2 linked regions of the Tamandua tetradactyla genome follow. The protein of the gene in region 1 purifies or fractionates together with the protein of each later gene. This does not show direct contact. Links are inferred from orthologs where the notes say so. Each region holds a gene or a part of one and is shown on either strand. Other genes may lie near its edges.

Region 1 (11,927 bases):
TTTAGGATATTGAACCTCCACTCTACACACACATCCATCTACTCAATGTCTCTTCTCACCTTAAATATTTGTATTTTATTTGTGATTTGCAGAGTTCTTCCTGTGGACTCAGAGCCCACAGGTATAATTCAACCCACAGAATGAAAAGCCCCAGCTTCACCAACTGGCAGTCAAACATTTGTCTGACTGAACACCCCTAATTTCATTTGACAGAGCAGAGATTTCCAAGAATCTGGAATCTACCCTATGAGCAAATATCCACTCCTCCTTTTTGGCCACCACCTCTATTTCATGACTTTCAGATAATATTAGCTTTCAGTTATTGAACCCTGAGCCACTAAATCACTTTACATTTATTATATTCTTTAATCCTCAAAGCCCTATTAATTAGGTATTATCCCCACTTTACAGATGGGGAAACTAATGCTTAGGTTAAAGAATAGTTTGCCAAAATTCAAATCTATATCAGTTTTATTTCAACAACTCCAGATGCATACTTTGAAGACTTCTGGCAGAATTTCCCATTCTTCATGCACAAGAATGTAGGGATTGCTAGAAATGTTGATGAAGGGCTTAACGAAGGGATTTAAAAGAGCAAGGATAGGTCATGAAAAGGCCAAGGTGGCAGGGATCCTAGCTCCTATTAGGAAAGCAGAATCAGGCCCTTGAACTTAAAAAATACAAAGCTTTATTTTATAAGAAATATGTTGGCTGTAGGTAAATTAGAAACTATAGATCAGTGAAAGATAAAAGAAAAAAATTGCCAATTAATCTCATCAGATTAACTTCTAATACTCAGTGGTGGGATCTTTCTATTTACTCATCTATATTTTTAAATTTATCTTAAATAAGTGTAACAAAATTGTGACCCTACTGTATATAAGGACTTTAACTTTTCTTTTTTTCCCTTCAATAATAAATAATGGTATGGAATGGACAGGACTTGCATAACTAAAATCTCAACTTTGTATCTCTGTCCACAATGGCCTCTAGGTGATTTGCCTTTGGGAACTGCAAAGGGGTGAATCAGGGAAGATTCTAATGTGAAAGGAATCCATTAAAAAAAAAGAACACATAAAGGGTACAAATAATAACAGCAATAACAGTTACCATTTATTGTGCACTTATTACGTTTTAAATAGTTGTTAAATACTTTACACATACACAGTACTCATAAGAGCCCCAGGAAATCATGACAGATGTATTGGTTTTTAATTTTTGGATCAATGAACTGCTGAGTAGAAAGCTTTTTTCCTACCCTACAAAAAGCTCAACATTAAAAAAACCAAGATTCTAATTTATATAATTAACCTTAGATTTATAGAAATGTTTTCTTATACTGTACAACTACTGCTACATGACTGGTCTCAACATTGTTTTCTTTCCTATGTTTAAAAATAACGTTTCGGTTGTGTTGCTAGTTCTTCTAAACCGATGCAAATGTACTAAGAAACGATGATCATGCATCTATGTGATGATGTTAAGAATTACTGATTGCATATGTAGAATGGTATGATTTCTAAATGTTGGGTTAATTTCTTTTTTTCCGTTAATTAATAAAAAAAAAAAATAACGTTAATTTTGCTTCCCTTTCACAGTAAAATACTCCTCAGTGCTATACAGAGTTTGTTAGGAATTTCTTCAAAAAAGAAATCTAAGCCTTATCCTGAATTAGGACTTCCCTTTTCATTGAGCTGCTTTGCAGGGGGAAAAATGGCACACATACATTAAGCAATACTGTGGTCAAACACATATCACTGACTGACTCCTCCACAAACACTAATGATTATTTGTCAAACATTGTTATACAGTATGTTACATGCTACCAATGTTAGATATACTCAACATTGTACCCCTTTTTCAGTAACCATGGTTCTTGAGAGTCCTGGATAACTTTAGGGACCCCACTAGCTAAGGTTTTAAAGTTCCATAACTCTTAGCTAGATATCTTAGGAACTAGAATGTGGTTATGTCCCACCTAGTTCCCAGGAATACATTATGAACAAGTTCATATAAATTAAAGAAAACTTCCCATACCCACTGCAACATTTCAATTTTGCATCTTCCCATTACCATGACAACTGGGATCAAGGAGGAAGTAATAAGCCCTTTATCCTTCACCCACAATTCCTAAGATATTTGTGCTGGAAGTTCTTCTATCTTGTCTTGGTGAACTCTAACATTTTACAATACTCAGCATGCCCTCTTAACACCAATTCTATTGCTCGTTCAGCATCAATAGTTGAGGCAAATATCAAATATTTATATACTTCATATCAACTAGGGAAAGAGGGCAAACATTCTAAGACAATGGAAGCACTGGTTATCACCAGGGTTCTGGGCTTAAGAGGTAAGACATGCAAGGTGAACAGAAGGCTATAAAGACCGACTAATCTTGGAGAAATGCTGGGAAGAAATATGAACTGCTTAAGCAGGGAGAAAACAGTTCTCTTACTTATAATCCATCCACATTTATTTGGAGTTGATTTTATGGAGGATAATATTCAAGTGGTATTAAAGTGCTTCAAGCAAAATTTAACAACTCCTGTAAGGCTACCTGTTGTTCATCATCAAGTTGAGATAGACATTCCAACCACAATTCTTCAGAAATCTGTACCTGGCGCACAACATTAGCTAGGCGTTTGGCACAAGGATCCTCATGGTTAATGGTCTCATTAATTTTTCCTTCTGCAATTATACTGATTATTTTGGGAAGATTGGAATTATCTGGACCAAGTACAAGTGGATGGTTACTTTCAATTAAGTCACAGAGAAAACTCAAAGTCTGAATAGCTTCCTCTTTATCTTCATGCAGTGGAAGCCATGATAACCAGTGTGGAAGAACTTCATCCACATTTACACAGTTAGGCTTAAACCTCAAAATCTTCCCTACTGCTGAGATACAGTTCTCTGTAGCAATGACATTTTTTTTGGTTTTAGAATTTGCACACTTAATGACTTTTACCAACAGTGGAATGGCTTCTGAACATAAAGAACGATAATCATCTCCACCAAACTGTGCCATAACTCCCAGGCCATAAGCAGCAGCTTGCCTAACTTCAGGGTTGTTATCTCGCATATTTAATAGCATTGGCCACCGAAAATATTCTACATATTTAAATGAGGTTGGACTGCAGTGCTCTATGATATCATCAAATATGCACAATCCCCACTGTCTGTCTGGCCATGGCCTATTTGAACAAATTAGATTTACAATTAATGGAAGTAGCTGTTCAAACCATGGTAAAATTTTTTCCTTATAAGTACTAAATAATGAGTGTAAAATATCTGATACTTTGGTTAGAATATAAACATCACATTCATCCTCATCTTGCAAAGACATCTCAACCTGTTGATCATAATTTTCTTCCTGTCTTTTAACCTGTCGCAATTCTTGATTTTTAAAGTGCCCTTCAAGTTTCGCTTTCAGTATTCCTCCCAATTCTTCCAACTGTTCATCATTAAGGCACCCATCTCCTATTACTTCAACGGACTTTGCAAAAGAACTCATTATTTCTGAGAGGACATCTGTATCAGGTTCGGTCCCAATAGCCTTGATTAACGGATCACATATGAATTGCCACATCTGTGCAAGATAGCCTGGACCATGAATTCTTGCACATTCCAGGAGAAATGGCATGGCCTCTGCTGCTGCCACTCGAACATTATCGTGGAAATAAAATTTCAGTAAAGGAACCATCAGCTTTACAACCTGTTCCGTATATTCCACAAATCCTTCCCTTAGCTCCTTAGCATAATAAACCAACATCTGGCAAGCAGTTGCTTTTGCTTCAAGTCCTGAAGTTTTAATTCCAAAACTTTGCTGGTCTCCAAGATTTACAAATTGCCAGCCATCATCATCATTCATATTCTCCACATCTTGTGTGTCTAAGAGAGCGACGTCAGGTTTAGCTGAAGCAGTCTTAATAAGAGGCTCAATAACCAGAGAAAGGTACTGTTGAAAATCTTTTCCAAGAATTTTACACATTCTAGCCCATGCTGAAACCATGTAAGAGATCTGAGGGTCATCATCTTCCATATTATTTAAGTCTGATTGTGTCTTCAACAATAACTGCATCACATTTGATGCATCTTGCATAAATTTTTCCTTCCCAACAGCAAGACCAACATGGCTAATACATTCAATAGTTTTTCCTCTTAGAAGCTTGAGTTCCTTCTGAACAGCAAGCTCAACAATGTGCTTTAGTGAGGGCATAAATACATCATAGTAAGGAACAAATTTTTCTTCTATTGTATCTGCAACTGAGGCAATGGTTGTCACAAGTTGTTCCAAGGCTAGCTTAGTTCCATTTCGAATCAACTCTTGAAGTTTAATCACCAAGATGGAATGTAGATTTTTCATCATATTATCTAAATATAGAACTAGCAATGACTTGGGGCAATCTTCAATAAAAATAATAAGAGCAGAAGCTGCATGTGATTGCACGCGCTGATTACCTTGATTTTCCATGGTACGCAACAGAGCTGCAATCACTGTTTCATGGAATTTCTTTTGGAAGCTGGGTGCAAAATCTGTAGCCATCTGTCCAAGTGTAGTACAGGCTGCAGCCCTCACCCTTGGATGGGGATCCTGAAGAAAAAGCAAAACAGAGTTAACCATTTCATCTAGAGTTGATTCCATTTGCTGATGGCATCCTTCTCCAATAGCAGATAAGGCCATTAATCCAGCATGTCGATACTTCCAGTCAGGGCTCTGAAGCATCTGCATTACATGCTCCTTGGTCATTGGCAAAACAACTTTTCCACCGAGGCCACAGGCTAGTCTGTCTAGTGCACTCTCGGCAGCAACAGCATTGCTGTCAAAATCATCTTCTTCCATTTCATCAGCATTTACCCAGTCCTCATCATCTGGAAGATCAACCATCATTGCTAATATATGAGGAACTGCCTGTGCAATAATGTTTGTATGCTTTTTCAGCATTGGGGTTGCAGTTTCAGACAAGGTCACTATTACTTCAAGGGCCAGCTGGCGTTGCAGATTACTAAGCCTAGAGTCTCCACATAACTTTAGACTCAATTGCAGAGTTTCCTCTAAATAAGGACCCAAGTACTTAGGAACGGTATCTGCAATCTCAACAAGGGACTCTAAGACGGAATCATCATCCTGGTAACATGAATCATCCACAGCCTGTAAAATTCCAGGAAGCAAGTCTGCAAAGTCTTTGAAAAGAGCAATATTATTCTCATTAGCAAGTACAAATGCAGCTGCAGCTCTAGCGGATAAGGTCCTAATCGCTGGATGTTCTTGATCTTGAATACACTGGTCCAACAACCGTTTGATGATATCCAAATCATGCTGCTCTTGGTTCCCAAAAATCCCAGGAAAGTGCCAGAAAACGTGAAGTGCAACTTCCCATAAAACCACATTTTTAGAGTGGATTGAGTCAATAAGGAATTTCAGACCTTCGGGCCAGTGGTTAGTGCCATCATCATCTATCAAATTCCTGGCCAGCACCGCAAAAATATCACAAAGTTTTTTCCTCATGCTCGCATGTGTTTCTAACTTAACAGCCAGGATCAGCTCAATCTTGACGTCCCTCTGAACATGAGAAGGTAGATTTGGATAGACTTCCTCAAACCCGGAGGACAAAAGCCTTCGTAGCAGTGCGGCAGCCATTTGTCTCACCTCATAACCTGCTCTTCTATTTCTGACGACATCTAAGAGGAATGTAGTCTTACAAAGGCCAGGGATATTTTCATAGATTTCCTCTGCCTGCCTCCGCACCATACAGCTTGGATTGATCAGGTTCTTCAGAAGCTGGTAAAACTCTTGCTTTTCCGACACCGCCGCGGATACCCCTGCAATCCCGGCAGCCGCCATCGCGCTCTGTCAAACTCAATGCGACGAGGAAAGGAAGGAGGGAGTACTGCGGCTCGGAGCAGTGACGTAACTGCGCGCCGACGTGGGTGGGCGGAGGCTCTTCTTACTCCTCTATCTTGGGTCCCAAGCTAGTTGCTGGGAGCACGGAGCTGGGAGCTAGGGAGCCAAGGTAGGAGGAGAGGGGCGGGGAGGGTGAGCAGGGAAGTCGAGTCCGTTTGTTTTCCAGTCAGATAAATATAATATGCCTCCGGGGTGGTGGTGGAATACAATATATATATAATATCGATTGTATTAGAGTGGAATTGTGTGTCCTTTTCTCTAGTTCCAAGTATTGTTGTTACCCGGATAACTTAAAACAATAAATTCACCTTGGAAACAGGCTAGGTGAAAGAGGCCAGTTACAAAATACCACCTATTGTAGATTCGCTTAATAGGGAAAGTCCAGAACAGGCAAATCTATGGAGATGGGTGGTTGCCAGGGGCTGGAGCGGGGATGGGGGAAGGAATGGCGAATGACTGCTAACAGGTAAGATGTTTTCTTTTTGGGTGATGAAAGTGCTCTAAAATTGATCGTTATGATGGTTGCATGACTCTGAATATGATAGAAACCATTAAATTGTACAATTTAAATTGGTGAATTGTATGTTATATGAATTATACCTCAATAAAATTGTTTATATAAAAACCAATAAGTCCAATAAAAAGTAAAAACAATAATTACGGCCCCACCCCCACCCCCAAGGCAGTACAGCAGTGGTCCTCCAACTTTGGAGTGTGTCAAAATGATCTGACCCATGGATTACAAAAAAGAATGCAAGAGACAACTGAATAAACTATGGTGGAAAATATCTTGGGTAATAAATAGAAGACCTGAACCTTAGTCTTATCTCTAAATTAATTTTATAGTCTTCATGGAACTCAAGTTTTTCCTTACACATTACCTAAACTGTAAAATGAAGGGGTTCCATTGTTAAAATCTCTGATTACCCTTTAGTAGGAAGCTGTTCAAGGTACTACACATATACACACACACACATGCACACACATACCCTTGAGGCCTAGTGTTTCTTGAATTCAAACTGGTGTGTCGGTAAAAAATACTGAACATCCCTCTAACGATGATTAGGTCTTTTGTATTAGCACTTGCCACCTTCTCATTTTGACTTTTATATCAGCTTATGAAGTTGGTAGGATAGGTATAATATTCCTAATTTTGGGGGGTGTTCTAGTTTGCTAGCCACCAGAATGCAATATCCTAGAAATGGAATCGCTTTTAAAAAGGGGGATTTTAATAAATTGTTAGTTTACAGTTCTATGGCTAAGATAATGCCCCAATTAAAGCAAGTCTGTAGAAATGTCCAATCAGAGGCGTCCATGGAAAGATATCTTCGAACATGGTGTCATCTGCTGGCTTGCTCTCCTAGCTTCCTTTCATGAAGCTCCCCAGGAGCCATTTCCCTTCTTCATTTACAAAGGTCACTGGCTGATGGGCTCTCTGCTTCTCATGGCTATGTTGTTCTGCTTTCTCAGAATCTCCTGGCTTTCTCTCTTGTTTTTCTCTTTTATAGGATTCCAGTAAACTAATCAAGACCCAACCGAATGGGTGGAGACACGCCTCCACCTAATCCAGTTTAACAACCATTCTTGGTCTAATCACAGTTTCAAACATACAGTACTGAATAGGGACTAGAAGAAACGGCTGCCTTCACAAAATGGAATCGAGATTAAAACATGGCTTTTCTAGGGTACATACGTCCTTTCAAACCAGCCCATTCCACCCTTTGGACCCTAAAAAAACATGTTTTCCCCATATACAAAATACATTCATTCCATAACAATATCAGAGACCCTTAAACCATTTCAATAACATTTCAAATACAAGATTAAAATCAGTACAAAGTCTCATCAAAGTTAGTTAAAGGCACAGACATTCCTAAGGCAAAATTTTCTCTATTGGCTCTGGACCTGTAAAACTCAGAACAAGCTATTTGCTGCCAACACACAAAGGAAGAACAGTCATAGGTTACATACACCCATCTCCATAGGGTGGAAGGAACACAGGGGTCACCAGACCCATAAAGTTTTGAAAACCTGCAGGACAAAGTCCATAAGATTTCAAAGTCTGAGAGTCATTTATCTTTGGGGCTTTTGAAAGCGGCAGTCCCACCCTTTCCAAAGGCCTGCATAGAGGCCTGCCTCTCTCTCAACGCAACCCTGGGGTATAAGAGGGAGAACACCTTTTTCTTGGCTCCACCATCTCCAAGGATCGGGGCTGCACCCGTGCTCTCTGCCGTCTCTGGGACACACACTCGACCCCTCCATGTAGTGGCAGCCAGGCTCTCCCCAAGCCCTAAGGAATGTGCTTCACTCTCTCCAAGGCCTGAGGCGGCATGACTCTTCCACCACAATGAAGTACAAGGCCCATCTGCTGCCTGTGGGGCAAACTTACCCTCTCCACAGGCTTGGGTGGGTCTGTCCTCTTGGCCAGAGGCTTCTTGACTTAAGACCCCGGCCTCCATGGTTTCACCTCGAGTTATTTTTCTTCAATGTGTCCCATCTCTGAACCCCCCAGTCCAGTCTGGCAGTGGCCCTGTTTATGCAGGTCCCACAGCACTCTTGTTGGGCTTTCTATGCAGTAGCCTTGGATCATGCCCATCAAACATAAAGAGTTTCCACAAATCCTTCTTGGATAACTCCATGTCCCATCCTGGCTTTCTCTGAAATGGCTGACTGGTTTCACATTTGGCCAAGACCTTATGTGGTGCACTATTCTCTGGGGTCTCCATTCCTGGAAACCCAGAATTTTCCAGAATATCAACTTCTAGTTTCTTTGTACCCAAGAGTTCAGTTCTCAGCTTTATCTTTCCTCTCTCATTTCACTATAATCTGTGAGGAGAAACCAGGCTGCACTTTCCACATTTGATTTGGAGATCTCTTCTGCTAAATATCCAAGTTCATGGCTTTTAAAACCTGCTTCCAGCCAAAGCCACTGGTCAGTTTTGCCAGATTATCTGCCATTTTAAAACAAGGCTCGTCTTCCTTCCAATCTATAATAACAGGTACCTCATTTCTGTCTAAGGCTTTATTAGAAGTGTCTTTAGAATCCACATTTCTATCAACAGTCTTTGCAAAGCATTCTAGGCCTTCTCTATCAAGCTTCTCACAACTCCTCCAAATTCTTCCCCTTATTCATTTAAAAAGCCGTTCCAACATGTTTGGTATTTGCAAGCTGCAGCTGCAGCAGCACCCCACTCTTCAGTACCAAAATCTGTTCTAGTTTGCTAGCTGCCAAAAGGCAATATCCTAGAAATGGAATCGCTTTTAAAAAGGGGGATTTTAATAAATTGCTAGCTTACAGTTCTATGGCTGAGATAATGCCCCAATTAAAGCAAGTCTGTAGAAATGTCCTATCAGAGGCGTCCATGGAAAGATATCTTCGAACATGGTGTCATCTGCTGGCTTGCTCTCCTAGCTTCCTTTCATGAAGCTCCCCGGGAGGCATTTCCCTTCTTCATTTACAAAGGTCGCTGGCTGGTGGGCTCTCTGCTTCTCATGGCTATGTTGTTCTGCTTTCTCAGAATCTCCTGGCTTTCTCTCTTGTTGTTCTCTTTTATAGGATTCCAGTAAACTAATCAAGACCCAACCAAATGGGTGGAGACACACCTCCACCTAATCCAGTTTAACAACCAGTCTTAATTAAATCACACCTCCGGGGGGATGATCTAATTACAGTTTCAAACATACAATACTGAATAGGGATTAGAAGAAACGACTGCCTTCACAAAATAGGATCAGGATTAAAATATGACTTCTCTAGGGTATATACATCATTTCAAACCAGCACAGTGGAAACCGAAACCCAGAAAATTTCAAGGACTTACCTAAAATGAAGCAGCTGAGTCTCAAACCCAGATCTTTTGAAAATAACACCAATGTTCTTTTCCCTACACCGCTTCCCCATAATTAATCTTACTTGGTTTTACAACATGACCTTGCACTTACTGCAAGTGGTCAAGAAATTTAAGTGTCTTAAATTTCTCCACGTGGGCTTAATTTTAATTTTGTGAAGTGCTGCTGCATATACCTAGAGATAGAAATTCATAACTTTAGCATTAATCATGTAATGGAAAAAGTAAATAGTCTCATAAATTACAGTGTAATATATAATAATACATTCATTTAGGAAGAAGCACTATTCTCTAAAGAGCATAGGTCATCTTTTAGGCTGAAAAACCAATGATAACAGAATTACCTGAGATACTTTTTTTAAAATTTAGATATTAGGGCCCAAGCTTCAAATGACTAAAGCGGAATTTCTGGGGAATACAACCTAGGAATCTTCCATTTAAACAAGTACACTGGGTTTTCATACAAATATCAAAACTTGAGACCCACTGATGAGATCAGTTCTGGTCTAATTCCAACAGCTTGGCTATAATTCTTCACCTTGCTCCACATGCACTAGTTTCCTTAATATTCCTTGAAAAAGTCTAACTGTACGGCCTTTGTATTTGCCGTTTCTGGAAATGTTTAATGTTTGATATGCTAATGTGAGGATAAAATGTTTCTCTTGATGTTATATCATTGGTACATTAAATACTTAACACTAGAAATATAATTGAGTTCTTGCAAGAACTACTTCAAAGGTATGATTCATGTACAAAGAGTGTTTTAAGTTCAGGGTACAGGGGGAAAACCGCTATTGCATGCTATGGGCTATGTTTAAAAGGAAAATATGAGCACTACTACAGAACAGCAGAGGTAGATAATGGGGGGAGGGACAAGAGTTAAGAGGAGGTTTGGATTTCCTATTTAGTGAGGGTGTGTTTATTGGTTATCTTTCTCTTGGAAACGATGAAATTATCTAAAATAGAGAGTGTTGATAGACTGTGGACTTTGGACACTATACATGAAGCCTGATGAATACAGGTGGCTAAAGGATGCACTAACTGAGAAGTAGATTGGCAAACGATGGTGTATACATATGATCACATGTTGTGCTGCTACAAAAAGGAACGATGTCCTGAGCCATGCAACAATGTGAATGAACATGTGGGACATTTGGTGAGGCAAAATAAACCAGAAATGAAAGAACAATTATGGTATGGTCACCTTTAGAAAATGCTTATGAGAAAACAGGGGCCTAGATTGTAAGCTTTTATAGCAGGCACATTTAGTCTGGAGTGGTAATTATTATTTCTGGATTTTGAGAGGCTGTTGTGTGTGTGTGTATATATATATATATATATATATATATATACATATATATATATATATATATATATATATATATATCCTGGCATTTAGAGATAAGAATGAAGCCAATCAGGTTGGGGTTAAAGTAATTCAGAACACAGGGAAGGAACACATTGTCTGTATTTTAGAACCACGCATACTCCTTGAGACCAAAGAAAGAAAGGTTTATTTTGTCAGGAACCTAAATTTTCTGTAGCGCATAATCTAACTCATCCTATTTGTATAGCTTATTTGAAGAACTGAAACACAGGGAGCCCAGAATAAGAAAGAGGTCCTTTAATCTTGTATAGTTTAATGCAATGCCTGGATACATCCTAGAGTATATTAAGCAGATAATCAAAAAGTATTGGCAAAGTCCCTTGAGGGATGGAAGAAAAAATATGAACTATTAAACTATACCATCAGGGAATCCACTGACACTATGTCAAACCTTAGGGACACCCATATCAGCAGGCCAAGCCCTTGATCTTGAAGCTTACTCTTGTGAAGCTTATGTAGGTAGCGGAATTTAGCCTACCTGTAGGTGTGCCTAAGAGTATACTGCTGGAGGACCTCTTTTGTTGCTCATATGTGGCCTCACTCTCTCTAAGCCCAACTCTGCAAGTGAAATAAATGCCCTCCTCACTACGTGAGACATGACATCCAAGGGTGAAAGTCTCCCTGGAAGCATGGGAGATGACTCCCAGGGATGAGTCCAGCCCTGGCATCATGGAATCAACAATTCCATCTGACCAAAAGAGGAAAAAGAAGTGTAACTAATAAAGTATCAGTGGCAGAGAGAGTTCAAATGGAGTTAAGAGGCTACTCTAGAAGTTGCTCTTACACAAGC
Region 2 (12,666 bases), on another chromosome or scaffold:
TTTGTCCTTTTCTTCATGCAGGCTGTAAACTCAAGGACAAGGACCATGTTTCTTTTTTTTTGCCAATGAAAGCGCACAATTTTATTGACGATACACACAAACGTAGTCTCGGGTGCATGAGGCTAACTCAGTACAATTGGTAGAGGGGGAGTGCTGTTTTTTGTTTTTGATGAATAGGCTCACCATTAATCCGCTTGCGTAGAAGAAAGAGCAAATACAAAGAAATTCAATCTAAGCAGCAACAAATGCATTTCCAGCACAAGCTCTGATGCACGGCTGGTCTCCACGAAACGGTCCAGCTTAAACAGGGAGACCACCACAGGCAGCAACTTCACTCGTGTTGCTATAGTATGACATTCTTTATCCACAGCTGGCAGCTGAAAGGACCCCTTTACCACATGAGGACAGCTGGAAGGGGGTAATTTACAATGTGCATTGCCTGCCGCCTGCAAAACCAAGAAGTTACTGAAAGCTCTGTGGGGATCCCTGCCTGGCCAGTAAGAGTACGGTCCTGGGTTTAGCAACTGTAACATTCACCCAACTCAAGGATGTGGTGATCGGCTAAGGCTGGATCTTCAGTAGCACCCTCTGCAGATTCTTTGAATGAGAATTCAAGCGAATGTTCACCAAACGGGTTTTGGGTGGATTCACTCCCTTTCTGTTTGAATTGGTCATTTAAGGGGCAGGTACGTCCAAGAGAACGTCTCTGTTTCCACTTCTGATAAAGAGGGACATGAATGAGAACAGCATTTGGGCACTGAGCAACTCCCCTGCCAAGGCTGCCTTTTCAGACAAACTCATTAGCGGTTTCAGAATCTGATCCTCAGCACATCCATTCCCCTCTGCTATCAATGGAAACTTCAAGTCTGAAACGGACTTGGCAAGCATGTGATTAATAACCGTCATGGTTTTTAACAAATTTAATCCCGCCTGCTGCAGAAATGAGTTGCAGCAATGTGACACAGTCTCCTGACACACTTCACTGATGTACATCTTAATCTGGCCCTGATGTTCAACACTCCCATTCAACATATCCAGGGCACGCACAGCCTTCTCCTTCACAGCGGTTCTGGGAGTGGGGACCATGCTTCTAGTAATTGGGAGGCTGGGCAAATCACAGTTGGTATTGTGGGTAGAGGGAAAACCAGCCTCCCTGGCCTGAGCAAACAGCATTTTTACCTGAATGAAAGGACACTTGGAGAGATCAAGAACAACACTCATATTATTAACAGTAGTACTCCAAGTATTTTTATGTCCATAGGGGGACGGGCGCTCTTTTATTAGGTATGTTCGGTTAGCTTTACCCCCACCTGACGGCCTGTCTTCGCTTCCACCTGGGGCCCCAGGTTTAATCCAATCCCCATCCTCATTCCAGGGTCGAGCCATAGTTGTGAAATCAAACCACATGTCGGGTTCCTCCTCATCCAGTGCCTCATCTTCATCCCATTCGTCTTCCTCTTCCTCCAACTTGTCACTGTCATCTCTTCCTATGGTTAGTTTGTAAACACAGTAGCAGGCACCAGCCCCGATCATCAGTCCTGCTGCCATCCAACCCACTTCCCGAGCCCGGCCCATACTTAAGTCCGTGCCAGCCTTGGGGCCGGCCAGGAGAGGGATTTGGTCAGCCTGATTGCAGAGGACTCTTGGGTAGTTTTCAGCCTCTTACAGTCTCCTGCAGCGGTCTTTTGATGAATCTATGGGTGGAAAAGTGTATTAGGGATTGTGGCTGTGCCTGGATGTGCACCTTATCAGTGTGCCCCAGTGGAAGCTGACAATGGTTTATTATTAGCAAATCATTTCTCCCTTTCTTTCTTGTACTCCCCGGCTATTCTCAGGGTCCTCTGTTTTCTCTTCCAGTTTCCACAAAAAAAGGGTGAGATATGGTTCTGAGCCATGGCAGCCAGGAGGCTGAGAGGGAGCAGCAAATCTCAGTTAATCTCATCCTCCACCACGACCCCACCCTTCAAGGATTCACAGGCAATTTCATCAGCTAACCTCTGCCAATGCCGGGGTAAATGCTTTCTTCTTCCCTTGTCTTCAGTTGTTAGTGCTCCCTACTGGGTGACAAATGGACAGTCTAGCATAGAAAGGAAGATAAGCAGTAATAGATAACTCAGTGTGGTTGATGGATTGGCACTCAGGGTACAGCTCCCAACACCTGCTTTTTTGACTTCTAGGCCCTGAGTTTAAAATATTTCCCACCCCACCCCCCGACTTTCCTAACGCGGACTTCCCCGCCCCCACCCCGCCCCCACCCCTTGCCGTCCGCCATTTCCCCAGTAAAGGCGCCACACCCCTTTTCCTGCACAGAAATGCGAGGGGGTATGAAGAAAGAAGGGGCCCGGAGAGGGCGACTCGGACCTGGCCCGCACAGATCGCAGCCCCCTTTCATCCCCGCCCAGGGTCCCGGGCTAATCCCACCTTCACGTTGTCTTGCACGGTTCCAGAGCAGTTTGCTCCTTCCCTCGTAGCAATTTGAGCAGCGAGTATAGGCCAACAGACCTACAAACCTGCAGACAAGAGACAGAGCGGACGGAGTGCTAAGTGGACGGACCAGCACCCAAGGTACCGGTACCCTAATTGAGGAATATGTCTTTCCTCGCGGTCTCTGTAACCGCCACCTACTGCCCCCATCCCCTCCCCCGCTCGAAGCCCGCCAGTTCTCTACTCAAATGGGCAGAGGACACGGGATGGGAGGGGGTATTTAGAAAGTAGGCGAGGAGGGGACAGAGCCCCGATTGGCCCAAACCACGGCGCTCCTGTCCCTCTCCCACCCCCACCTCTCACCAAGCAGCGCCCACCTTCACACCGACCTGCACGTTGCGGACTAGTTTCTTTCTTCGTTCACCCGCTTGCAGAGTGATAGGGGACTGGTTCCCAGACGGAGGCGACGAGCAGGACTTCTGCTCTAGTCAGCTCTTGGTCACGTGACGATCACGTCACCAGCCCTGGCCCCCAATTTCCACTCCCACAAACAGTGCGGCAGGCGCCAGCCCGCCCCGTATCTCCCTCAGTCACACTGGGCCCTGTCACTCTTTTTCTCTTAAACAATACCAGACACCAGAGGTGGTCACGTCTTTTTGGAACTTGAATTTGCCTTTCTGTAATTACAGGAAGGGGCAGCATTTTTTCCTGGGACTACCGTTCACTTATGCTTCTTGATGAATTCTCTCACTGGTTACTAGGCACCGAAACTCCTGCAGCCCACTTCGAATTTTTACCCCTTCCCATATACATTCTCTGCACCAAAATAGAGGGTGGGAAGTGGTCAAAAGGAAGCCCAAGTATTAGTGAGAATTTAATTAATATTTTTATATATTTATGCTTTATTTCATTTTTCTTTCTTTTTTTACTGACTTGTTACACTATATTGCAATCAGAAAATACAATAAAACCATTTTCATTTGGGGAAAACTGGATTCAAGTAAAATGAAAAAAAGTATATAAGATATCTCCCCAATAGGGAGGCCTCATTGACTGAGTTAATTTATACCACATTGGAAATATTTTCTTCTGACTGCATTGGAAATACAAGTTTCATACAGCGCATTATAATTAAAACGAAAAACCCTTAAAAACAAAACCAGTGCGCTTTCAATGTCATTTATAAAATGATGGACAAATTAATATATATTGACAAGGTAATGTTCTAATCATGACCATCTAAAATAAACGAACCACTGTGCCTTTCTGTCTTCTGGCTGAACTTATGGTATTAGATGTCAATCTTCGAGATCTTCATGGACAACTCTTGGATGTCTTCCACTCTGACTTCAAAAGACAAACTTTATGAAGACCTCCAATTCAGGGTGAATGTAGCATCTTACAAGTTCAGTATCTCCACAGATGAGCCTATTTTCCATTCAGAGAGGTTTATTTAAACTCCATTAAGAAATTTCATGATGCAACCCATAAATCATTCAGAAATTAGAAAAATCTTTGCCATCCCCCAATGAAATGAGGCTTATCAGGTGGGCTTTCCCTTCCATCGTGGTGCTGGTGAGATCTTTCCGGTATGGGTCATTTATGTACCGCACTTCACATCACCTCAGCAGTGGCTGGTATTCAGCATTTTCCGGTGGGTACAATGGTGAGGGTCTGTGTGTGACCACGAACCACTGCAATACCCCTTTTATGTTCGTGTCATTTTCCCCTCACAAATAAGAGTGTGTACAGGATCCCAAGCACTCATAGGGATAAAAAAACCTTTCCATTCCCTGTCTTCTGTTCCAGTCTCATTGCACTACCTGTACAAGCCTCTCAGAATCATCTCAGAACTGAGGGACGAAGTGTGTAGAATTAAGTCCTCAGATATCCACCTGTCCTTGTCAGGGAGTCATAGTCTAAATATAGATCTTTTAGGCAGCCATTCTATCAGAACATTGAAATATGACACCCCAGTCAGAGGCTCACCCTGTGAGGGGCCCTTGTGCAGGGCAGGCTCTTCCCAGAGGTGAGCCAGGGAGACTAGAGAGGCTTGCTGGTGAATATTTGGAAGTCAGTATCATTCACGTTTTGATCTTCCCTAAACTTTTCTAGTCCAAACTCACGCACTAATATCATACCACATTTGTTTCCCCAATACCCTTACACTGTTCTTTTTATCACTCTTGATTCAATTCTGCCAGACAAATGAATTCCATTTACGAAGGTTTACTAAGAGAACTTTCAGATTCAACTGTTCATCATTCAGTTTTTGGCTGCAGGTTCTTATATAAGTGAGTTTTATTTGTTTCAAATATATACATTAGAAATAAGTAAGGAGTATGTAAAGTATAATAAAGGCAGTGGTCTTGGTGTCATAGACATGGCTCTACAGTAAGGACACATTTTCACAACACTTAGCAAGGTTCCAAGGACAAAAGCGTCACTCCAACTTCTCCTTCCTAATATAAAATATATCCCCGTCCTTGGTGTATTCTACAATTACCTCAGTGTATAACCCCCTAACCACCATTCTTTCAGTTTGCCAAACTTTTCCTGATTTGAAACTTGCTGAACTTCTGAGCATGACTACCTTTTCATTTGTCTTACCCATTTGTAATTCTGACCCACAATTTCTACCAAGGAACCTGGGACTAGTATTTAAAAATTACTTTGCTCTCCATTATACATCTACCAACAAATATTTATTTAAGGCCATGTTATGTGCCTTGCATACTATTTCAAAAATGAAAAAATAAAATCCTTAAACAGTTCTCCAGGTAAGCTTGCTGAAAGTTCCTGACCTGTAAAAGACTACGTGAAACCACAGCTAGAAGGAAGCTTTTGGCATAAATCAGTATCGGTCAAATGTGATTATAAAATGTCCCCAAACAAACAAACAAAAAGAGATCAGTAGATAGTAACACTGATGGAATTGCAGAAGGTAAGAAAAATAAATTATAGAGGATTGTTATTTTGATAAGCTGTATTACTTTTTGTATTATAATGCTGTTCTTAGTTAAGGTTCTTTGCTTGCAAGCATCAGAAAGCAAGCCTGGTTAACTTAAGCAGTAAGGGAATGCTGGAGACCAGGATGTTCTCTGAGAGGTCTAGGTAGCAGAAATTGATATGTGCCAGAATTCCATCAATTTTCAGATTTTTTTTCCTCTGCCCAAGATTCAAATTTAAGAGAGCATATGGTTGGCTTCTTTTGGGTCATATACCTGCCCTTTAGCTGGGGAAAATATGAGTATACAAAATGTAAAATGAATTTCCTTTCTTTTCCCAAAGAGAAATGTAAACTGTTCCAGCTCTTTTTGTTGTTGATTTGTATGCGCTCTTTCAGTACTTTGACTGAGGTGCTGGGAGACTATTGACTATAGTGTGTTTTAGTTATAATTTCCCCTTAACTGAACATTTGAGAGCTGCAGCTCTCAAATGCTGATGCACAGAGTTGTTCGAGCCAAGGCCAGGTGGCTTCCCTGACAGGATTCCACAACATTACATCTACAGTGCAGGGTCTTGTCCTCAGCACGGTATGATCAATCTTTGATTGTGTCTATACTCTGAGAACAGATGCCTCAGTCAAATCATTCACAGAGGTGTACATATAAATCTAGATCAAAATGCTTAAACCCAGGGATCTCTGCATTCCCTCCCTGTAAGTTGGCCAGAGGTAAGCTAAATCTCAACAGAATTGCCAATTGAAGAATTTGCCTGAGAAATACAACTGTCAGGCATACTGAAGGTTTCTGTCAGTCTTACTAAACACCCTCTTCCTATAGATAAACTACTACTTGGGAAGTTACAGCCTCAAAAGGTCACATAGTGAGCTTGAAATCAGAACAAGGGTGGTTGGCTCACCTTAGGAAGTGGCTTTCAGCTAAGGAAGCTGGGGATGGTGCTGCCAAGGAAAGTTAAATATTCCATTCATCCTAGTGAAAACTCCCTCTCTCCAGACAGTGCTTGGTTAAGAACAACCAAAACTTTCCAGTCTCTTCCTTTTGTATATTTCTCTGCTTGAATAAGCCCCTTGCACAATCTTTCTCTAATCACAGAATCGTCTAGTTGACTTGGTTTGCTTAATTTCAATCATACCCTAGTACTGCCTCCCAGAGTTTGATCAGATATGAATTTCCTTGGAGATTTTCCTGTTGTCAAACTCCCCAGTCTGTAGATTTATTCTTGTACTGACTATGGAAATAACAGCCTTAAATCCAAACTTTTAAGGAGTATCCCACTGCAGACCCTGTGTTCTGACATTATTTTAATACTTCTCCACTTAAATATAGATAACTAATTGGTGACAGGAGTTTCATCAAGCTCATCACACCAGTCAATGGAATGGTTTCAAAGTAATCACTACGGGCAGAGTTTAGCCAATTTTGTCTTGTTCTCAATGTTCCACTAATCCCTAGTTCATTTACAGATGATATTAGCTGTTTGTACCCAGACACATTTTGTAATATTCTTTTTATGTCACTAATTTTGTCAGTCGCATGACTTTTTATCTTACAGATACCAACCAAGTAGTTATAATTTCTACTCAATCTTTTCTGTTTTACTGGGTTTTGAGGGCTCAATGCTTCTTGTTTGTTAAAAGATGCAGGTGGAAGTCTATAGCTATCTTATTTAGAAGACTGACCTTAGCCAAAAGATTTACAAATTTGGGGGCACACTGATTAGCCCTTTCAGGGTTGTATTATGTGCCAGGACCCAGAAAACATTAAGACTGCTTCGAGTGAAGTGTGGGAATGTGGGATTTTTAGAGGCTTGATAGCACTTAAGATCAATCTTCCACCTCCTCATTTTTGTTACCCAAATGAAAATAGATTTATGGTATTTTTTCTCATAAAAAGAATGCAGGTTGGGAAGGGGGAGGGGTCAGAGCAAAAACAAAACAACAAAACTACATTAAGAAGGTAAAAACCAAACTCTCACTCCAGGCCTCCTTTTTGATGACTTGTTCATGTCAGATCTAGGAGTAGATTTCAGAGGAAATGGTAGACATTAATAGCAAGGAGAGGGGGTGGAGGGAAAGGCTGCTATCCCAAGAGCTTAGGGAAGGAAAAGGCAATTTTTCAAAAAAGTTCAAGTGGCCAGTACACCCAGGGCAAGATGCTGTCCCTTTCTGGTAATCAGAGGAGGGCAGATACAACCACAGAGAGATGGGATTATGAAGAGAAAAGAGTGACAAGGCCGGGTATGGGGGAGGGAATGGATGGGGGCGGGCCCTCTTCTGCCGCACTGCTGGTGGGAGGGGAAATTGGGGACCCGAGTTAGTGGATGACGTAGATATCACGTGATCAAGAGCTGACGTGTGCAGAAGTCCTTCTTGTCCTAGTCGTTGTTCCCGTCCGTCCGAGTACCAGCTCCCAATTGCCTTGAGGACGGGTGGGCCTGCGGCAGAGGGAAGAAGGAGGAGGAGGAGAAGGAAATCGTCCCGGATCCCTGCAGGTCAGTGCCTGAGAAATTCCATAAGGTGGAGGTGGTAGAAGACGCAGGGCGGAGACCGTCGCGAGTCCTGGGGCGCCTCCATCGGTCTCTCCCATTCGCCGCCGGCTTTCCAAGACTTAAGTCCTGCCTGCAGCCTATTTCATTGCTGCGAAACGGTGAGCAGGGAGTGTTTGGGGAGGAGCCTAGAGACCGGGAGGTGGGAATATGTTGGGATCTGAGGCCCACAATCCGGAAAGGGAGCTGTGGCCTGGGTGTTGGCTCCCCAGTTCACCAAGTCGGTGCTGGAGGGGAAAGGTCGGGAATGGGGAGGGAGATGAGGTGCAACGAGTGTGTCAGTGGAACCTCAAGAGGGTTAACAAAGATGGGAAACCTTTAAAAACCGAGCCTCGGAATTAGGTAAGTTTTCGTGTTCTGGGAACTGGTCTGTCCACCAAAAGCTCAGTAGCAGCTGTTTCCCATCCTTCTGCTTTTGGCTGTATCTTCTTGACTGTGGTCTGGGTCTAGTGGGTACGAGCCTTTCCTGGGTGGCCAGTCTTTCTGTAGGTTGCTGTATGACGCCAGGCAAGAGAAGAGGAAGGAAATTAAACCCTATCGGTGAAGGTCGATTTGAGGGTAAGACCATCTGGGCACCCCAGGAGGGGCGGGAGTGGAAGTGGGGAGAAAACAGAGATGTAATAATTTAGGTTCTCCTCTGAGTCTGAGTGCGTTTCTCACATTCCCCCAAATGTGGCGAAATGGCTGCGTTGAGGGGAGGAAAAGGATGACAGGAGAGATATCTATCAGATAGTTTGTTCACAATTCTCTCTCATCCAGAGTTAGTCTCCATGTTTTCAATCTGTCATCCTGCAGGTTTGCTGTAGCAGGTGGCACCACTTGAAGCAGGGAGGAAGTTTCCCCGGAGCTGTAGAGGTCGGTGTGCCTGTGGGGGCTGCCTGGAATCGGGGAGGGGACAGAGATCAGCTGAGGTTTGGATGGGCTCACCCACTCCTACCTTATTTTCCTTACATCCTTCCCATTTCAAGCGAAGGAGGAAACAGGCATGTGCATATTTTTGATGGGCTAGAGGGACTGAGAGTTTAAAGAAAAACAACAAGAAAACCCCTGACAACGGGATCATGAATCAGGGAAGCAACACATGAACAGTCACTTAGGCATTTTTCAAGCCCTTAGTCCTCACTGCTCTGGTCTCTCTGCAGATCCGAAAGGTTGTTGGGTGTGGCAACTTCCAGGGGAGGGAAGAAGGAACGAATTGCCCAGTCTTGTGGAGGTTAGTGCAAGAGTGCTACTCCCTGGGGATGCCTGTGGTTGGGTGACAAGGCCCCAGCAGAGTCTTTTAACTCTATTGCCTTTGTCTAGGTTTGAGGTGGGAATGAGCTGGGGAGGTACGGAGAGGGTGAAATGAGGGGGTGGATATAAGAATTTGTTAACAATTTATAATTCCCACCAAACTCCCAGTTACTATTCTCCTGTCTTCTGTGCAACTCTGCATGGGGCAGCACAAAGAGAAGAGAAACTTCAACCCCATTTCCTTCCTGCATCCCTAGGTCCACCTCTAGTTTCAGCTGTTGTGGCCTTGAAGTGGCTGAAGACTGCCATTCTCCACAGACCTGCACCCAGGCCCACAGCCGTCTGCCCCCAGCCCAAGTGACAACTCTGTTCCTTGGTCCCTGCTATTGTCAGGGACGATTGCATGGGCTACGCCAGGAAAGTAGGCTGGGTGACTGCAGGACTGGTAATTGGGGCTGGTGCTTGCTATTGCATTTATAAGCTGACCCAGGGAAGAAAACAGAACAAGGAGAAAATGGCTGAGGGTGGCTCTGGAAATGTGGATGATGCTGGGGACTGTTCTGGGGTCAGATACAATGACTGCTCTGATGATGATGATGACAACAATGAGAACAAGGATATAGTATGGTACCCACCTTGGGCCCGGATTGGGACTGAGGCTGGGACCAGAGCTAGGGCTAGGGCAAGGGCCAGGGCCACCCGAGCACGTCGTGCTGTCCAGAAACGAGCTTCTCCCAATTCAGATGATACTATTTTGTCTCCTCAAGAGCTGCAGAAAGTTCTTTGCTTGGTTGAAATGTCTGAAAAGCCTTATATTCTTGAAGCAGCTTTAATTGCTCTGGGTAACAATGCTGCGTATGCATTTAACAGAGATATTATTCGTGATCTGGGTGGCCTCCCAATTGTTGCAAAGATTCTCAATACTCGGGATCCCATAGTTAAGGAGAAAGCTTTAATTGTTCTAAATAACTTGAGTGTGAATGCTGAAAATCAGCGCAGACTTAAGATATACATGAATCAAGTGTGTGATGACACAATTACTTCTCGCTTGAACTCATCTGTGCAGCTGGCTGGACTAAGATTGCTTACAAATATGACTGTTACCAATGAGTATCAGCACATGCTTGCCAATTCCATTACAGACTTTTTTCGTTTATTTTCAGCGGGAAATGAAGAAACCAAACTTCAGGTTTTGAAATTACTTTTGAATTTGGCTGAAAATCCAGCCATGACTAGAAAACTGCTCAGGGCCCAAGTACCATCTTCACTGGGTTCCCTCTTTAATAAGAAGGAGAACAAAGAAATTATCCTTAAACTTCTGGTCATATTTGAGAATATAAGTGACAATTTTAAATGGGAAGAAAATGAACCTACTCAGAATCAATTCAGTGAAGGTTCACTCTTTTTCTTATTAAAAGAATTTCAAGTGTGTGCTGATAAGGTTCTGGGAATAGAAAGTCACCATGATTTTTTGGTGAAAGTAAAAGTTGGAAAATTCATGGCCAAACTGGCAGAGCATATGTTCCCAAAGAGCCAGGAATAACATCTTGAGTTTGAAGCCTAGAAGCAATACACATTGTAAACTATTCCTTTTCTCCACCTTGTTTATATGGTAAAGGAATCCTTTCAGCTGCCAATTTTGAATAATAAATTCATATTGTATCATCAATGCCAATATTAACCAAGTTGGTTTTCAGGTTGAAGCTGAATGAATGAATATTGCTACTTGTTCTGAAAACGTTTGTTGCTTTTTAGCTCACTGCCTAGATTGAAATACTTTTGCTGTTTCCTTCCACATAAGTAAGTGACTGACAGTGAACCAATTAGTCATACGCCAGCTCCATTCTGTCATTTGCATTGACTTCATTTGTGTATCATCAATAAAGGTGTGTGTTAATGCTTGAAAAAAAAGATAAAAGGAAAGAAGAAAGAAAAAACAACCCTTGTCCTTCTATTTATGATCTTTTTGGAGAGATAAGAAACATACAAACAAAAAGATAATTGAGAATATCTTGAGCACATGCTCATTATCAAATGTGCGTAGAGGAGGCAGAGGTTTCTGTGGGTAACAGTTAGTCAACTAAAACTTCACAGAGAAGGCAGCCATTTAAAATGGGTCTTGAATGGAGTAAGGTGTTTAAGGGCGTTCCATGAGATAGGAATGAGGGGGAATGGTGTAAGAAAGGCATGGAGGTAGAACTCCTCTCCTGTGGCAGTAAGACCAGTCTGTTTAGACTGGAGAGAATGGGGAGTGGGAGCAGATAACATTTTGAAGCCGTTTTGTGTAGAACTGTTTGAATATCATCCCATTGAACCTGAAAGCCACTAAATAAGTTTTTTTTTACTAGAAAGAAAAAATGGAACTTATATAAAAGTCCCTCTCTCCCCTACTGTGCCATGTCAGCAAGGGTGTCACAAAGTTGACCCTTTCAAACCCTGGTGACGGGAATGAATTTACTCTGACACAAGGTTTGTGGAGGGTCATTTAGTAATACATATAATCCTCAAAATATGTATACCCTTTGACTTATTCATCTTAAAGAAATAATTGAACAAATGGCCAAAGATTGTATATAAAAGGCTGTTCATCCCAGCACTCTCTAAAATAGTAAAAATTGAAAACAACCTATGTGTCCAGCACACTGGATTGGCTAAACAAATTATGAAATGTTCACACAGTGTATTATGATAAATATGTTTATAGAAATATGTATTACCAGGGAAAGATATACATCATGCATTGTTAGGTGAAAAAGGTAGGATAGTAGCAGTATTTATAGTATGATTCTATTCTTCAAGAATTAATGAAACACATGCTTAAATAGACATACAAAAATTCTGGACTTATAGATACCCAAGTGGTAGCAGTGCTTATCTTCGGGTGGAATTTTAATGAGTGATTTGTACCCTTTTACTTTTTATTTATCTCTGCATTTTAATCTAAAATGAATATTGATTTTAAGACATTTTTGAAGAGAAAAGTATAGGGAATGAAACAAGTGAATAGAGCATGACTGAATGGAAAAATACTTGAATTAAGAATGAGGTGGATTGAACGTTCCTCTCTGAAATGATACATGAGAGGTGATCGGGCTTGTCATGAGTATAAAATGAGCTAATACATGTAGAATACTCACAACGTTTTGGTACATAACAGTTAATCAAGAAAAGTGAACATCCTTAATTCCCAAAAATGCAGAGTTGATAGTGTTTTGGTTGACTTTTGTTTTGTTGGGGCATTCTACCATTTGTCAGTGTCATTTAATAAATAATAACAACAATAAAGGTTAGCATTTATTAAGTGACTACTTTGTAGAGTCCTATCATTCCTGTAAGGCAACTGTTAAAATAATTTGTCAAAGGAATAGGATTTTCATTCTTTTCTAAGAAAATAAAGTGTTTCCTCAGACATGATCTTAGCAGCCTCCACAACATATTCCTAATTGGTGTGGAGGGCTAGGTGATGTTATCATGTTTAATATGATGCAAGGAAGGAAT

What was found.
Region 2: the proteins of RANBP6 (region 1) and ARMCX3 purify together in Homo sapiens (co-immunoprecipitation; 3 studies listed by BioGRID and IntAct, counting the BioPlex papers as one, with this or other methods). This does not show direct contact. The link is inferred for Tamandua tetradactyla from reciprocal best matches to the Homo sapiens genes RANBP6 and ARMCX3.

The regions. Positions count from the first base shown.
Region 1 is NC_135328.1:91,787,454-91,799,380, reverse strand, and holds RANBP6 (ran-binding protein 6), read right to left. Parts: upstream 5,865-11,927; 5' UTR 5,843-5,864; coding exon 2,525-5,842; 3' UTR 1,092-2,524; downstream 1-1,091. UniProt on the Homo sapiens protein: May function in nuclear protein import as nuclear transport receptor.
Region 2 is NC_135353.1:71,882,524-71,895,189, reverse strand, and holds ARMCX3 (armadillo repeat-containing X-linked protein 3), read left to right. Parts: upstream 1-7,712; 5' UTR 7,713-7,881; exon of another isoform or gene 7,882-8,036; intron 8,037-8,057; exon of another isoform or gene 8,058-8,277; intron 8,278-8,413; exon of another isoform or gene 8,414-8,493; intron 8,494-8,730; 5' UTR 8,731-8,790; intron 8,791-9,077; 5' UTR 9,078-9,148; intron 9,149-9,425; 5' UTR 9,426-9,571; coding exon 9,572-10,711; 3' UTR 10,712-11,108; downstream 11,109-12,666. Other genes in the region: protein ARMCX6-like, read right to left, coding at 676-1,575. UniProt on the Homo sapiens protein: Regulates mitochondrial aggregation and transport in axons in living neurons. May link mitochondria to the TRAK2-kinesin motor complex via its interaction with Miro and TRAK2.